Linked DNA regions of Macaca fascicularis. The protein of the gene in region 1 purifies or fractionates together with the protein of each later gene. This does not show direct contact. Links are inferred from orthologs where the notes say so. Each region holds a gene or a part of one and is shown in the gene's direction. Other genes may lie near its edges.

Evidence for each region. The genes of interacting proteins can lie anywhere in the genome.
Region 2: the proteins of USP12 (region 1) and PHLPP1 purify together in Homo sapiens (affinity purification with mass spectrometry; 4 studies listed by BioGRID and IntAct, with this or other methods). This does not show direct contact. The link is inferred for Macaca fascicularis from reciprocal best matches to the Homo sapiens genes USP12 and PHLPP1.
Region 3: the proteins of USP12 (region 1) and DMWD purify together in Homo sapiens (affinity purification with mass spectrometry; 3 studies listed by BioGRID and IntAct, with this or other methods). This does not show direct contact. The link is inferred for Macaca fascicularis from reciprocal best matches to the Homo sapiens genes USP12 and DMWD.

What each region holds. Positions count from the first base shown.
Region 1 is NC_088391.1:7,178,022-7,184,370, reverse strand, and holds the start of USP12 (ubiquitin carboxyl-terminal hydrolase 12), read left to right. Parts: upstream 1-2,870; 5' UTR 2,871-2,998; coding exon 2,999-3,100; intron 3,101-6,349. UniProt on the Homo sapiens protein: Deubiquitinating enzyme that plays various roles in the regulation of the immune response and inflammation.
Region 2 is NC_088392.1:17,895,637-17,901,430, reverse strand, and holds part of PHLPP1 (PH domain leucine-rich repeat-containing protein phosphatase 1), read left to right. Parts: intron 1-3,465; coding exon 3,466-3,666; intron 3,667-5,794. UniProt on the Homo sapiens protein: Protein phosphatase involved in regulation of Akt and PKC signaling.
Region 3 is NC_088393.1:53,866,936-53,872,341, reverse strand, and holds part of DMWD (dystrophia myotonica WD repeat-containing protein), read left to right. Parts: intron 1-86; coding exon 87-269; intron 270-3,957; coding exon 3,958-5,232; intron 5,233-5,406. UniProt on the Homo sapiens protein: Regulator of the deubiquitinating USP12/DMWD/WDR48 complex. Functions as a cofactor that promotes USP12 enzymatic activity.

The sequences.
Region 1 (6,349 bases):
TGCTGTTACTAATGTAGCTGTAGATGCTTCTTCCCCCTAAAGACAACCACAAAATCATTTTCTGTCTCTCTCTCTCTCTTTTTTTTCTTTTTTTTTGAGACGGAATTTTGTTCTGTCACCCAGGCTGGAGTGCAGTGGCGTGATCTTGGCTCACTGCAGCCTCCACCTCCCAGGTTCAAGCAGTTCTCCCTGCCGTAGCCTCCCGAGTAGCTGGGATTACAGGCGCCTGCCACCATGCCTGGCCAATTTTTGTATTTTTTTAGTAGAGACGGGGTTTTGCCACGTTGGCCAGGCTAGTCTCAAACTTCTGACCTCAGGTGATCCGCCCGTCGTGGTTTCCCAGAGTGCTGGGATTACAGGCATGAGCCACTGCCCCCAGCCTCTCTCTTTCTTAATACTCATAAATATCCAATCATTGTTGAAATTAGCTGATTGTCTCAAATGATCGTGGTTGGATCCATAATGTTCGTTATGTTTTGTCACTATATCTCTTAAATGTGGATCCCTCTTTCTTTTTTATTACAGTTTATCTTTTGAGGAAATCAGATTGTCCCATAGCTTTTTTTCATTTTCTGCACTTTGCTGATTGCATCCCCTTTGTGATGTTTAACGTGTTCTTCCATCCTGTATGTTTTCTGTAATTTGGTAGATCAAGAGGCCTGATCCAGATTCCTTGATCTTTTATTTTTTTTATTTTTTATTTTCCTTGCAGAAGTTGGTGTACAAGTGGTGGTGGAAAAACATAGGTGATGTGTACTTCCGGGTTGCAGGGGAATGTGGTGTCTCTTTATAATGATGAGGCTGGCATTGTCAGAACGACTCTTCTGTTATGGAGCTGCTGGCAGCTTTTTACCTAATGATTTTTAGCAACTGTTGATAATCATTGCGTAGATCCAGTGTTTCATTAGGGCTTCAGAATATAGTTTTAACTGCTTCTATAGGTTTTTTTAAGAAATATTTTTAAAAACATTGAAAGAGAATGTACATCTATTCTTTGTTGTATTTGAAGCTACACAGAAATAAACTTTTTACATTTTCAGAATATTTTCATAGTTGTATTCCCAAAATCATACATTTAGGCAGGCTAAAGTTTACAGATTAAGTTGAACCTTTTCCACACCTAGACTTAATTTTGTGATATTACAAGTGAATGAGTACATGAAGTTCTAACACATTTTTGCATCTGAACTATAATTAATAAGATTTAGCTGATTATACACTAAAACTTAACTAAGTAGTTTTTCTTTTGTTTTCCATTTTTTAATATGTTCCACCTCAGGGTTATATATTTACTGCTGCTATGCTTTAAAAAAAGCAACTTCAAATTCTTAAGCACAGGATTCTGAAAATTAGATGAACTAACCAGATACAGTTACTTTAATTTTCAGATTTTAGGGATATTAGAGTGCATTTATTTCTATTTGTTTTTCTATTTATAATGTTTAAAATGGACCAATTTGTGTGTGCATTAGTTTCCAATGAGGCTGTAACATATCACCATAAGTTTAGTGGCTTAAAATCACACAAATTTATTATTCTAAAGTTGTGGAGGTTGCCGGACGCAGTGGCTCACGCCTGTAGTCCCAGCACTTTGGGAGGCCGAGGCGGGTGGATCACAAGGTCAGAAGATCGAGGGCATCCTGGCCAACATGGTGAAACCCCATCTCTACTAAAAATACAGAGAATTAGCTGGGCATGGTGGCCTGTGCCTATTGTCCCAGGTACTTGGGAGCCTGAGGCAGGAGAATTGCTTGAACCTGGGAGGTGGAGGTTGCAATGAGCCATGATTGCGCCATTGCACTCCAGCCTGGGCGACAGAGCGAGACTCTGTTTAAAAGAAAAAAAAAAGGTTGTGTGGGTCTGGCTGGGCTGAGACCAAGGTCTTGGCTGGACTGTGTTCTTTCCTGGAGCTGCAGGAGGGACTGCTGCTTTGCCTTTGCCACCTGGACGCGGCCCTTGCCTTTTGGATCCTGGCCCCTGCAGCATCTTCAAAGCCAGCCATGACTGGCCAGTCTTTCTTTCATTACCTCCCTCAGACAGGGACTGTCCTGCTTCCCTCTTTCACTTACAAGACCCGTGTGATTACATAGGGCTGACCTGGGTAATCTGGGATAATCTCTCAAGGTCGTTTGATTTTAGCAACCTTAATTCCTTCTGCAACTTGAATTCACAGGTTCTGGGGATTAGGATGTGGACGTTTTGAGGGAGGCAGTTATTTTTCTACTACCACAATATGCACATTTTTTTTAGCTTTAAAAAATATATTAGAGGTGAAAATCAATTCGAGATATGCCTTTAATGCATTTTGGGTTGTGGTGAAAGATTGGGAAGAAGTTGAGTGGGTTTGTAAACATATACCTTTTGTACTAAGTGAACATTAAGAGGTGGTTATCTGTTCTAGTTTTGGAAGTAAAAGAATTTTTACTTCAGGTACTGTTAGCACACTACCAATCTCAGCAGGAGAAAAGTAAAGATGCAGTGGAACATTCAGGAAAATTAGCTACCAATACTTTTACAACTTTTGATGAGTAAATATAGGCTTGGTAGCATGAGAGGTTATGAAAATGGATGAAATGAATAAAAGCTGTACTACATGGCCTTGCTCAACAGAGCATATGTAAAATGTATTTTAGGATTTTAAGATTAGATCAGAACCTTTTATATTTACAGTATAGTAATTTAAATGATGGTTGGGCTTCATTAAAAGATAATCTTGGAGGTTTGGAGAGAAGGCCTTAGGCTGTGTGCTTCCTAAGAAAGAAAGGGCAGAAAAGGGCAACTGTGACATTTTCTTAGGCAAAGTGGAAAGATGTGGAAATTTCTGTGGGTGATATTAGTAGAATTTTAGTAGAGTGAAATAGATTTTTAATGGTTAAAGATAGTATCAGAAGAAGCTCTAATTTGAGGATTGCCAGATCTCAAAATATTTTTGTTTTGAAGTTTATTAAACGACTGCCATAATTAGATTTGATACCTCAGTAAACTTACGAGAAATAGGATGAAACATAGAACCTGGACTTCTAGGGACTTCGTTTTTCTCATTTTGCTTGTAAGTCTGAAGAAAACCAACAGAGCAAGAGAGGCTAAGAAAAGAGACATGGTAAGGAGACAGAAAAGAATAATGAGTGAATATTGGTGTATGGGCTGTGCTGGGTTAACTATTAAGTATGAGTGATTCTTACTCTTAAGGAAGATACGTCTTTTTGGGGAAATGAGCCTTACATGCACATCCAACAGAACAGTATCAGAAAAGTGGGTGTATGAGCTCCATGAGGGTGATTTGTGGAAGGGGAAAGGTTGAACATTTCATTCTCAAGTACTAGCAGGATCTGTAACTCTAATGTACCGATTAATGGATTATAGCACAGCTTTTTATTGTTACAGAAGTGACATATCCACTCTTGCCATTCCCATTTTTGGAGTTTATTGTTACTAGATTTCATAGTACTTGAAACTGGAAAATATTTCTATTTCATTACTATGTTTTTGTATGCATATGTATATATGTTTTATCTTAAAAACAAAATTTATATTGAAGATGTTAAAAGTGAATTTGAGTTTTGGACCTTAAGCTTTATTTATTTACTTATTTTTTTCTGAGACAGAGTCTCATTCTGTTGCCCAGGCTGGGGTGCAGTGGCATGATCTTGGCTCACTGCAACCTCTGCCTCCTGGGTTCGGGTGACGCTCCTGCCTCAGCCTCCCAAGTAGCTGAGATTACAGGTGCCTGCCACCACACCTGGCTAATTTTTGTATTTTTTAGTAGAAAGAGGGTTTCACCATGTTGGCCAGGCTAGTCTCGAACTCCTGACCTCAGGTGATCAGCCTGCCTCAGCCTCTCAGAGTGCTGGCATTATAGGTGTGAGCCACCACGCCTGGCCAGGACACTGAGCTTTAAATGTCAGATATAAACAATTCATCAAAAGAGACTCCAAGTTGAGACGGAGTCTTGCTCTGTCACCCAGGCTGGAGTGCAGTGGTGTGATCTTGGCTCATTGTAAGCTCTGCCTCCTGGGTTCACACTATTCTCCTGCCTCAGCCTCCTGAGTAGCTGGGACTACAGGCGACCGCCACCATGCCCTGGCCAATTTTTTGTATTTTTAGTAGAGACGGGGTTTCACCGTGTTAGCCAGGATGGTCTCAGTCTCCTAACCTGGCGATCCGCCTGCCTCAGCCTCCCAAAGTGCTGGGAATACAGGCGTGAGCCGCCGCACCTGGCACAAACTCTTTTTTCATAAAACAGCTTTATTGAGATATAATTCACATACCATACTAGTCATCCATTTAAAGTGTACAATTTAGTGGCTTTTAGTATATTGATAGAGTTTTGCATTTATCACCACAGTCAGTTTTAATCACCTGAAAGATACTTTATACCCTTTAGCTATCATCTCTCTCCTCCTCCTTTTCTTTCCCTCCCCCTTCCAGCCCTAGGCAAACCAACCACTGATTGACTTTATGTGTTTATATAATTTTCTGCTTTGGACTTTAGTATATGGAATCATAGAGTATATGGTTTTTGGCACTGTTTTCAAGGTTCGTTTATGTTGTGATATGTATTAGTAAAAACTCTGAAAACTACAAAATATTGCTAAAAGAAATTAAAGGAAATCTAAACACAGAAAAAAAATACCATGTTCACAGACTGGAAGACTTTAACACTTAAAATGGTAATACTCCACAAACTGATCTACAGGCTCGATGACATCCTCATCATGGCTTTTAATGGACAAATACTGTTCCATTGTGTGGATATACTACATTTGTTTATTTGTTCATTAATGGACATTTTGGCCATTTCTACCTTATGGCTATTTTGAATAATACTAATGTAAACATTGGGGGTGCAAGCTTTTTATGCACATATGTTTTGTTTTCCCATGTGTCTGTACTTTGGAGTGGAATTGCCATTTAATCTTTTGAGGATCTGCCAGATTGTTTTCCAAAGATGCACCATTTTATGTTCCTGCCAACAGTGTATGGCTGTTCCCATTTCTCTGCATCCCCATTGGTACTTGTTATCTGACTTTCTGATTGTAGCCATTCCATTTTGGGTGTGAGGTGGTATCTCATCTCATTGTGGTTTTGATTTGCATTTCCCTGATGAATAATGATGTTGAGCACCTCTTTATGTACTTATTGGCGATTTGTGTATCTTCTGTGGAAAAATATCTATTTGCATTCTTTGGCTGTTCTTTGAGTTGTCTTTTAATTGTTGTAAGAGTTTTTTTTGTTGTTGTTTTGTTTTTGTTTTTTCAAGACAGGATCTTGCTGTGTTACTCAGGCTGGAGTGTAGTGACATGATCATCCCTTGCCACTCCAGTTCTCAAGTCATCCTCCCACCTCAGCTTCCGGAGTAGCTAGGAGTACAGGTGCATACCCCTATACCTGGCTAATTTTTTACTTTTCGTAGAGATGGGTTCTTGCTATGTTTTGCCCAGGCTGGTCTTGAACTCCTGGCCCTTGGGATCCTCTTGCCTAGTCCTCCCAAAGCACTGGAATTACAGGCATTAGCCACCCTGCCTGGCCTTGGTGTAAGAGTTCGTTATATATTCTGGATACAAGTTTCTTGTTAGTTATGTCATTTGCTAATATTTCCTCCCATTCTATGGGTTGTCTTTTCATTTTCTTGAGGGTGCCATTTGAAGCACAAAATTTAATTTTGATTTTGATGAAGTCTAATTTATCTAATTTTTTTTTCTCTTTTCCTTTTTTTTTTGGAGGCAGAGTCTTACTGTGTCACTGGATATTGGCTCACGGCCACCTCCACTTCCTGTGTTCAAACAGTTGTGCCTCAGACTCCCGAGTAGCTGGGATTACAGTTGCGTGCCACCATGTCCAGCTGATTTTTTTGTATTTTTAGTAGAGATGGGGTTTCGCCATGTTGTCCAGGGTGGTCTTGAACTCTTGGCCTCAAATGATCTGCCCACCTCGACCTCCCAAAGAGCTGGGATTACAGGTGTGAGCCACAACGTCTGGCCTGAGTTTTTTCTTTTGTTGTTCATGCTTTCGGTGTCATATTCATATTTTATAATCCTTTGCCAAATCCCATGTCAATCCTTTGCCAAATCCAATGTTTTTCTTTTAAGAGTTTTCTGGGTGTTGCTGTTCATATACTTCTTTGATCTATTTGGAGTTAGTTTTTTGTACATGGTTTGAGGTAAAGGTAACTTCATTCTTTTGTATGTGACTGTCCATTTGTCCCAGCGCCAGTTGTTAAAAAGACTATTCTTTCTCTGTCGTTTGGAGTTGGCACCCTTGTTGAAAATCATTTGACCATAGATGTATGAGTTTCTGGATCCTCAATTTTATTTCATTGATTTGTATGTTTGCCTCTCTGCCAGTACCA
Region 2 (5,794 bases), on another chromosome or scaffold:
CTTTTTCTCTAATTAGAAGAGGATTGCATAGTGAAAATGTTATATAGATGAAGCATGAAACAGCTGTTGGCACATTAAACCATCTTTTTATAGTATAGTTATTACAAAATTCTGTAAGGAAGAAGCTTGAGGATAGTTATCATATCATAGTGAGTTGAGACCTGACTCAGCCCTTTAACAATTTAGCTTTTTTGCAAGATTGAAAGCAGAGTGTGAGGTTCAGGAGCCTATTTATTTACTAAAATTGTTATCCATCCTGGAGAAACTTTGCTAAAGTATTCGTTCATTCTGGTGGAAGGATGAAATGTAGACTATTAAAGCAATTTAAGTTGTCTCTTGCTGAAACGTTGTGAGGTTTTAGGAAGAATGGCTTAAGTGAATGGGTATTGAATTTAATTTTCCTGATACTGTGATAATAAAAAATACTTTTAGTCCAGTTGTTTGCCCTTTGGCTATTAACCAACAAGGTGATTAAGTGAGACTTTATGCAGTTCAGATGATGTCCTTTGGAACCACTTCATGTGGTTTCAGCTAACTAGTTTCATTTCTTGGAGGCGGATGATGCTGGCAGTTTCCCCCTTAATTTTGCATAAAAGGTATATAGTTCCTTAATTACAGACAAATTTCAAAAAGATGAGAGGATAAATCTTTGAGGAAATCACTTTCCTCTCTTTATTCAGATGCCATGAGGGGTTTTTTAAGTTGCTTGGCAGCTTTCTAGATGAACATTCACTTGTCTGTTTTTAAAACATTCCCTCTTTTTCTGGCCTGAAAAGTATGCAAACATGAATTCACTTTGTTTTATCTGTCTCATATGTGTGTATATGTGTGTGTGTGTAACTACATATTTCCTAGAGAATTCTATTTTTGTCTTTTTTCTTTTTCTTTTGTTTTGTTTGAGCCAGAGTTTTGCTCTTGTTGCTCAGGCTAGAGTGCAATGTGCAGTCTTGGCTCACTGCAACCTCTGCCTCCTGGGTTCAAGTGATTCTCCTGCCTCACCCTCCCGAGTAGCTGGGATTACAGGTACCTGCCACCAGACCCAGCTAATATTTGTATTTTTAGTAGAGACTGGGGGTTTCACCATGTTGGCCAGGCTGGTCTCAAACTCCTGACCTCAGGTGATCCACCCGCCTCAGCTGCCCAAAGTGCTGGGATTACAGGTGTGAGCCATTGCGCCCAGCTGAGAATTCTATTTTAATGAAATTATTTTATATAATTTCCCAGCCCAACACTAGTCCATGATATTTTAGGGCAATAAAATTTGTTTCTTACATTGTAATTTATCCTAATGCTACACTAAAGAAATTCTTAACAGGAAATTAGGTGGTCTAAATGGGGTCTAAAGAGACAGACTTATAAAAATACTCTAAACAGCAATGGTAAACAACTATGGTGCTGAAACTTGTTTCCTTCCTAGTTCCAAACCATTTTAGAAACTGCAAGAGTGACCTTTATTTCCTTCTCTGTAGCACACACGACTATAATTTCCCATGACTATTTATGGTCTGGACAGCCCTTCTCTAACTTCCTTTTTTTTTTTAATGTCAACGGAATACGTGTTTCTTTAATGGAAAATGTTCTATTTTGGGGAAGCTGCTTTTCCTCAGATAAGTAATGGAGTTGGTGTTTGTGTGTTGAAGGGGTTATATGAGATTGAAGAGTTTTAAATTAGTGGACTGAGAGCTTGGAGTGACAGTCCTGGTGAGGACTCCTAATAGCCTTTTTTTTTCGTATCCAAGATTAAAAATAACTGTGCTTGGTATTTTGTATTATTTTTAAGGATGATTTTCTTCTTCTTCTTCTTTTTTTTAAGAAATGGCAGAATAGTCCTGAATTGAATGGTGAAAATTTCAAACCAAAGTGATTGAAGTGAGGGAATAGTGTGGCTCATCAACAGGGTTGATCTGGGGGCCAGAGAGAGGCATGGGAGATTTGACCCTTCTAACTCTTGTAGGCAGGTCCTATGTACTGAGCACTGTCTCTTTCCCACCTGCTGCAGCTGCACAGTTGGACATTCGTCATGAATCAGGAGGGTCATCTCTGACTCCTGAGTGTGACACAGTCCGTCCCTTTGGAGTGATTTGGAACCTGATCACAGCAAGGATTTGTTGCCATTCCCCAGCTTTGCATTGTGCGTTTAACTACATTTCACAATCACCGTGAAAGATTTTTTATTTATTGTTTTTGACGATTTGTTATCTTAGTTATAAAACCATTCTTTATGCTTTATCCACTTTTCACTCTAGCATCTGGAAACTGTGGCAGCACGTATATTGTTTGTTTTAATGTGAAATTTATTTAAGTACAATATAAGTACAGAAAAGTGGCCAGATCATAAGTGTAGCACTTGATGCATCATCTCAAAGTGAACACACTTGTGTAACCAGCATCTGGACTAAGAAACAGAATATTACAATATTTGAAACGTTACACGCCCTCTCCTGGATACTGCCTCCTTTCCCTCCCTTCCTAAGAACATTACAATATTTGAAACCTTACACGCCCTCTCCTGGATGCTTCCTCCTTTCCCTCCCTGCCTAAGAACATTACAATATTCGAAATGTTACACGCCCTGTCCTGGATGCTGCCTCCTTTCCCTCCCTACCTAAGAACATTATGATATTTGAAACGTTACACGCCATCTCCTGGATACTGCCTCCTTTCCCTCCCCACCTAAGAGTTACTGCCATCCTGACTTCTGTTACTACAGAGTAATTTTGCCTGACTTTGAACTTTATGTAGTTATGGGATCATACAGTGGGTCTCCTCTTTTATCTGGCTTCTTTTGGTCATTATATGTTTGTGAGATTCATCCTGTTGATACATGCTGTTTTAGTTCTTTATTCTCATTGCTACATCATATTATGTTGTTTTAAGACAGAGCAAATTATCTCCTGCACTTGTGAAAGTCAGTAAAATGTGCATTGGACCTTATACTGAAGAGGACTCAAGTCACTATGTGATTTAGTTGTATTGTGATCTAATACCTGTTTTATTACTATAAGAACCATTTATTTATTCACCTAATTTTTATAGAGGCAGGATCTTACTTTGTTGCCCAGGCTGGTCTCAAACTCCTGGCATCCTCCTGCTTTAGCAAGAACTTTTGATTACAAAATAGGAAATTGTTTTTCTCTTCCTTAAGTCAGAATATTAACTTTACCATATCACTTTCTCTTCCACTCCCCGCCAACTATAGAAATAATTGCCTTCCTCTTAACTTTGTGCTTCCATAAAACTTGATTGTATCTCTGTATTTAATACATATAGATAGCTATTGTGTTCATCATAGTTAATGGATCACAGATACAAATACTTGCTAACTGAACTTCTTGAAGCCAGGGCTTGTCTTTTCAATTCATGTTTCTAATCCCAGCTTCTAATATGCCTGGTATCAAAGCTTCTAGGTTTCTTGAGGAGTTTTGTGACTTTTCAATAGCGTTTTGTTACATTTTGTCATTGTAGCCTGAGATTCCTGAACGCATCTGCGAACAAACTGGAAAGCCTTCCTCCAGCCACGCTTTCTGAAGAGACAAACAGTATCTTACAAGAGTTGTATTTGACAAATAACAGCCTCACAGACAAATGTGTGCCCTTGTTAACGGGACACCCACATTTGAAGATCCTTCACATGGCCTATAACCGACTTCAGAGTTTTCCAGCCAGGTAAAGGAGAATCGTAAAGCTGTGTTCTGAATTGGGTTTCTCAAAGTGTATTCATAGAAAGATGAAAGCTGAAATATTTATTTCCCAGGTGATATCAAGTTTGTTTCCTTGTTCCTGCTCCATTCACAGTTTCCTTTATATAAGCTGTGATGACATTTCCCTGAAGAGAAGTAGATTGGTTTTCCTCATACGTGTCCAAAGACCTAATCACAAGAATGTTCTTAAGATTTTGAAATAAAATGTGTTGTTTAGCAGGTATGTTTTTTCTTTTACTTCTTTTTAACCAGTCAGATTAATTTTTTAAAAAACTATTATCCTAGAGCCAGGTGTGGCGGTGCGTGCCTGTAGTCCCAGCTACTCAGGAGGCTGAGGTGGGAGGGTCACTTGAGCTCAAGAATTCGAGACTAGCCTGGGCAACATAGTGACACCCTATCTATTAAAAAATAAAGTAAATAATAAAGTTTCCAAAAACATTAACCTAATAGGGTATGTGGGAATTAGAATGTAAACCAGGAACCTGAAAATCCTTCATTATCTACCAACTTTTATATTCATACTTATGATGTACAGAGCAGTGGTAGACTCTACTACCATAGAAACTGTAACATTGCAAATTATGGCTCAAAAGAGTCCATTTTTAATTTGTTTTTACTTTAATTTCTAATTTTGGGGGAGCGGTGACATTATATCTAGCTTTGAGTGAATCTATGTGCTGAGCCTGCCATGAGGATTTACCCTGTTTCCATTTCATTGGCTTTTATCCATCTAACAAGTTAGGGCTTGAAACACACACCCACGCATCAAAGAAGCAAACACTAACCCTTCTGGTATTCTGCTTGTGGTAACTGTAACTCAGCACTGGGGCTAGACCAAAACACTATCATAGCCTCCCTCTGCTGCCTTCAGGGCTACCACTCTATTCAAGCCCTTGCTAAGAAGGAAGGCCCAAGTATGTGTTGACTTAAAGTATTGCTCTGTTTTTGGCGTAATGAAATACTTACTTTCCTCCTCATTTGACATTAATGATTAAAATATTTTATGCTTACTTCCATCTACTTTTACTTCACTATGGAATGGGGAAATTATATTTTTGGAAAAAACCATGATAATCACATAACAGCAACCTATCTGAAAGGGCTCATTGTCTTCTTTCAGATGATGAATGTCTAAACCCTGCAGAGGAAAGGATCATCAGCTCTAATTCTGAGGATATACCCCCAGTGACCCATGCCAGGTGTAATCACCCACGCTGAGTGGAGAGAAACTTTTAACACACCTTGTAAAAAATCCATCTAGGAATGAATTCTGTCTCCCTGTGGTTGTGATGTGGCTCAGTAGCTCCCCTGCAAACCAGAGCACCTTAAGAGCTGGGTCTGTGACCTTGCTGTTTCCCTCAGCCTCACATTTCACACAAGGCCCACACTTAAATGGTTGCTGAATTAAAGAACGTGACCACCATCTAGTCATTTTGTCTTCACATCTTTTGCCACCTTCTTTTTATGTTGTGAGTTGGAAATTTCTTTAACTTTTTCTTCTGGGGGCCTGTTTTCTGTGCTTTTAATCATTTTTCATGCACCATTACCCATTAGTTTCAAGGCACAGGGCTGGCATCTGCTTCTGGTGAGTCTTCAGGAAGCTTACAATCATGGCAGAAGGTGAAGGGGAGCCATTGTGTCACATGGTGAGAGAGAGGGCAAAAGAGATGCCAGGGTCTTGTGTGAATGCACAGCATGTGAATTCAGTTATTACCATGGGAAGGGCATCAAACCATTCATGTGGTATCTGCTCCCATGACCTGAACACCCCCTACTAGGCCCCACTTCTAACATTGGGAATCAAATTTCTTTTTTTTTTTGAGACGGAGTCTCGCTCTGTCGCCCAGGCTGGAGTGCAGTGGCACAATCTTGGCTCACTGCAAGCCCTGCCTCCCGGGTTCACGCCATTCTTCTGCCTCAGCCTCCCGAGTAGCTGGGACTACAGGCGCCCGCCACCTCGCCCGGCTAGTTTTTTGTATTTTTTAGTAGAGACGGGGTTTCACCGTGTTAGCCAGGATGGTCTCGATCTCCTGACCTCGTGATCCGCCTGTCTTGGCCTCCCAAAGTGCTGGGATTACAGGCCTGAGCCACCG
Region 3 (5,406 bases), on another chromosome or scaffold:
CTCTTAGTGGTTTCCCCCAACCTCAACATCCTTTTCCTTCCCCTCAGTGGCATACACCATTAACTCCTTTTCTCCCACCCCTCAAGTCCATTGACCTCAACAAGCCAATTGACAAGCGGATCTACAAGGGCACCCAGCCCACCTGCCACGATTTCAACCAGTTCACTGCTGCCACCGAGACCATCTCCCTGCTGGTGGGCTTCTCAGCGGGTCAGGTGCAGTACCTCGATCTCATCAAAAAGGACACCAGCAAGCTGTTCAATGAGGAGGTGATTGCAGCCCCCAGAACCCCCAACTGCTCTGCCTTCTCACCTACCCACTATATGCCATTAGGTTTCAGCTGCCTGGGGACCAGTGTAGGCCTGAGAGGGGCAGGACCAGGGAGAGATGAGAATGGGGTGACAGCAGCTAATGACAGCTGCACTGTACCCAGGCCCTATGCTGTGTTACCCCTGTGCTGAATACTTTACTCCTTGAGTTTTATTTATTTATTTATTTATTTTATTTATTTTTTTGAGACGGAGTCTCACTCTGTCGCCCAGGCTGGAGTGCAGTGGCGTGATCTCCGCTCACTGCAAGCTCCGCCTCCTGGGTTCATGCCATTCTCCTGCCTCAGCCTCCCAAGTAGCTGGGACTACAGGCGCCCACCACCACGGCCAGCTAATTTTTTGTATTTTTAATAGAGACGGGGTTTCACCGTGTTAGCCAGGATGGTCTCAGTCTCCTGACCTCGTGATCCGCCTGCCTCGGCCTCCCAAAGTGCTGTTGTTACAGGCGTGAGCCACCATACCCGGTTTTTTTTTTTTTAATTGTAATTGTAATTGTTATTGTTTTTAATTTTTTTTCCTTTTTGAGGCAGAATCTTGCTCTGTCACCCAGGCTGGAGCACATTGGTACAATCTCTGCTCACTGCAACCTCTGCCTCCCCAGTTCAAGCAATTCCCCTGCCTCAGCCTCCTGAGTAGCTGGAATTATAGGTGCCCACCATCATACCTAGCTAATTTTTGTATTTTTGGTAGAGACTGGGTTTCATCATGTTAGCCAGACTGGTCTCAAACACCTGACCTCGTGATCCACCTGCCTCGCCCTCCGAAAGTGCTGGGATTACAGGCGTGAGCCACCGCGCCTGGCCACTCCTTGAGTTTTCATCAACCAGTGGATGCAGAAGTGTGCTGCCCATTTTGCAGATTAGAGAATTGAGGCTAGTAAATAAGTTGGGACTTAGTTGATACCCTTGCTCTTTGAGTTCTGGGCTTTGGAGGCTTTGGATTCAAAACCCTGCTGCACCACTTACTCACCGTGTGACTTTGGGAAGGTGACCATTCTCTGAGCCTCACTTCTCCTTCTCTGCAAAATGGGATTCCAGTTCCTACCTTGCAGAACCGCTGTTGTAGAATCATACATGGAGATTGCTCAGTCCTGGGCCAACTTGGCCTACGAGGAGATACCAGTAAACGACCTTATCCGCGGGCAGGGACTGCTCTTGGCTTCTGTCTCATTCTCTCTGGTCCAGAGGAGGTGTTCCATAAATATTCTCAGAATGAGTGAATGGCTGAAGGGAGTGAACGGAATAGTGAGTGGATTAAAAATTCATTAGCTCATCCATTCACAAATAGTTTTTGAGCATCCGTTCTGTGCCAGGCACCGTTCCCAGCAGTAGGGATATCACATCTCAGGGCCCTGGACAGGAGGCCCTGCCCTTTTGGAGCTTTCAGTCTAGCTGGGGAGATGGACAGTTAATCAAGTTAAGTCTTCATGTGTCAGCAGGTGATTAAGGCCTGTTTAGAAGAAACAGTGGGGAAGGAGCTGAGGGAAGCTTGAAGAGTCTAATAGGGTGGTCAGGAAAGCCCTCACTAAGAGGTGATATTGAAATAAAGACCTGAAGGAGGCAGGTGAGAAGAGTTGCCTGGGGAAGGGCATCTTTTTTTTTTTTTTTTTTCCTTTCAAGATAGGGTCTCACTCTGTCGTCCATGCTGAAGTGCAGTGATACGATCTTGGTTCACTGCAACCTCTGCCTCCCAGGCTCAAGCAATCCTCCCATGTCAGCCTCCTGAGTAGCGGGGACTACAGGCAAGCACCACCACAATTGGCTTGTATTTTTCATAGAGATGGGATCTCTTTGTGTTGCCCAGACTAGTCTCGAACTCCTGGGCTCAAGCGATTCTCCTGCCTTGGCCTCCCAAAGTGCTGGGATTATAGGGCTGGGCCACCACACCCAGCCAAGAAGGACATTCTGAGTAGTGGGACCAGCTAGGACAAATGCAGGATAGCACAGAAGTCGTGTGGCCAGAGCAGTTACTGAGGGAGAGAGGATGGTAGATGAGTTCCAGGAAATAACAGAGGGGCCGGCTCATGGGGAGTCTGGAAGGCGGTGGAGAGACTTTGCCTTACTCTTAGTTGGAAACCTGTGGAGGAGCCTTTCTCATCGGGGCTCAGCTGAGCCCTGGAAGGCAGAAGTGACTGGAGTGATTATTTGCTCAGTTCTCCCAAGGATGGGAGGCCTCTCATCCTGGGAGAGCAGCTCCTTAGTTGCATATGCTGACTGCCTGAGGGCATTAGGGCCCTGGGCTCTGGAACCCTGCTTGAGAGAGGCTGCTAAGCGTTCAGAGCAGGACAGTGCCAGGTGCTGACTGATACTTAACAGAGCATTGCTGTGGCTGCTGCAGAGGACAGACAGGCCCAGGCAGTGGAGCCTGAGGCCAGTCACACAACATTGCAGGCTTGGGGTGGCTGGATGGGATGGTGAGAGGAGGTCAGATTCTGGGTGTAGTTTTTCTTTTTCTTTTGAGATGGAGTCTCGCTCTGTTGCCTAGGCTGGAGTACAGTGGCATGGTCTCCGCTCACTGCAACCTGCGCCTCCCGGGTTCAAGCAATTCTCCTGCCTCAGCCTCCTGAGTAGCTGGAACTACAGGCGCCCACCACCATGCCTGGCTAATTTTTGTATTTTTAGTAGAGATAGGGTTTCACCATATTGGCTAGGCTGGTCTGGAACTCCTGACTTTGTGATCCGCCCGCCTTGCCCTCCCAAAGTGCTGGAAGTACAGGCGTGAGCCACCGTGCCGGCCGATTCGGGGTGTATTTTGAAGGTTGAGCCCACAGGATTTGTGGAAGGATTGGATGTGAGGAAAAGGGCAGGTGCTGAGGTTTTTTGTCTTAAGCACCTAGCAGGATGGCGGGTTGTCACTCATTTGTCCAGGAATTACCTTCAGGCCGCCTCCTGTGTGCACTGCTTTAAAGAACAGCGAACCAAACAAAGATCCCTTCCTTTGGGGAGCTGGCTTTCTGTGAAGAAATTTCCTGCTTAAAGCCTGACATAGTAAAGATTGGGGGAGGGTTAGGTAGATAGAGCAGAGGTCCCCAACCTTTTTGGCACCAGGGACCGGCTTAGGGAAGACAGTCTTTCCACGAACTGCTGGGGGGATGGTTTTGGGATGAAACCGTTCCACCTCTGATCATCAGGTGTTAGATTCTAGTAAGGAGCGCACACCTAGCTCCCTCGCATGCGCAGTTCATGGTGGGGTTTGCGCTCCTATGAGGATCAAATGGTGCGCTGCTCCAGTAGGAGGCCGGGCTCAGGCTGTAATGCCTGCTTGCTCACCGCTCACCTTCTGCTGCATGGCCCGGTTCCTAACAGGCCACAGACCACTACTGTTCCATGGCCCAGAGGTTGAGGACCCTGAGATACAGGACAATTCTATGGCAAGCAGGACTGTCCCCTCACCAAAGATGACACATTGAGGCTCCTTGGAGCAGCCCCTGTTCCCCCATGTCTTCATGACCCAGTATCCATCTGTCTTCCCCAGTTTGGGAGCTTCTCGTCGAGGAGGACCTGGGCCTGGTGTGGCATCTGCTGTGTGGGCGGGGCCGTGTCCAATGGCCTTGGGGACTTCAGGTTGGGGAGAAGGTCTGCCTGAGTTTTACTGCCTTCTCCCAACCCCACCCTGTCTCCCCTGGCAGCGGCTGATCGACAAGACCAAGGTGACGTATCTGAAGTGGCTGCCTGAGTCGGAGAGCCTGTTCCTGGCATCACACGCCAGTGGCCACCTGTACCTATACAACGTCAGCCACCCGTGCGCCTCGGCCCCACCCCAGTACAGCCTGCTGAAGCAGGGCGAGGGCTTCTCTGTCTATGCGGCCAAGAGCAAGGCGCCCCGCAACCCACTGGCCAAGTGGGCGGTGGGCGAGGGGCCCCTCAACGAGTTCGCCTTCTCGCCTGATGGCCGGCACCTGGCCTGTGTGAGCCAGGATGGCTGCCTGCGCGTCTTCCATTTCGACTCCATGCTCCTGCGCGGGCTCATGAAGAGCTACTTTGGGGGCCTGCTGTGTGTGTGCTGGAGCCCCGACGGCCGTTACGTGGTGACGGGTGGTGAAGATGACCTGGTCACCGTGTGGTCCTTCACTGAGGGCCGCGTGGTGGCTCGAGGCCACGGCCACAAGTCCTGGGTCAACGCTGTGGCCTTCGACCCCTACACCACACGGGCAGAGGAGGCGGCGACAGCAGCCGGTGCTGACGGGGAGCGGAGTGGCGAGGAGGAGGAGGAGGAGCCCGAGGCTGCGGGCACAGGCTCGGCCGGGGGTGCCCCGCTCTCTCCACTGCCCAAGGCTGGCTCCATCACTTACCGCTTTGGCTCGGCGGGCCAGGACACGCAGTTCTGTCTGTGGGACCTCACTGAAGATGTGCTCTACCCGCACCCGCCCCTGGCCCGCACGCGCACCCTCCCTGGCACTCCTGGCACCACGCCACCGGCCGCCAGCAGCTCCAGGGGTGGCGAGCCTGGCCCGGGCCCACTGCCTCGCTCGCTGTCCCGCTCCAACAGCCTCCCGCACCCGGCGGGCGGGGGCAAGGCAGGCGGCCCGGGCGTGGCAGCAGAGCCTGGCACACCATTCAGCATCGGCCGCTTCGCCACGCTCACATTGCAGGAGCGGCGGGACCGGGGGGCCGAGAAGGAGCACAAGCGCTACCACAGCCTGGGCAACATCAGCCGGGGTGGCAGCGGTGGCGGCGGCAGTGGGGAGAAGCCCAGCGGCCCTATTCCCCGCAGCCGCCTGGACCCCGCCAAGGTGCTGGGCACCGCACTGTGCCCACGCATCCATGAGGTGCCCCTGCTGGAGCCCCTCGTGTGCAAGAAGATCGCGCAGGAGCGGCTCACAGTCCTCCTGTTTCTGGAGGACTGCATCATCACTGCCTGCCAGGAGGGCCTCATCTGCACCTGGGCCCGGCCGGGCAAGGCGGTGAGTGGCTCCATGCCAGCCTGCCGGGGACCTGGCAGGACCCTTGGTGGGAAGAAGCAGTCATTGGCAGAGAGAGGGCTTTGTTGCTGTCACAGCCTCTGGCTTCGTGGGGTGAGGGGAAGCCATGGAAATCTTAGTGTCTCAGAACAAGACCTCTCAGATTCCCAGGTGGCA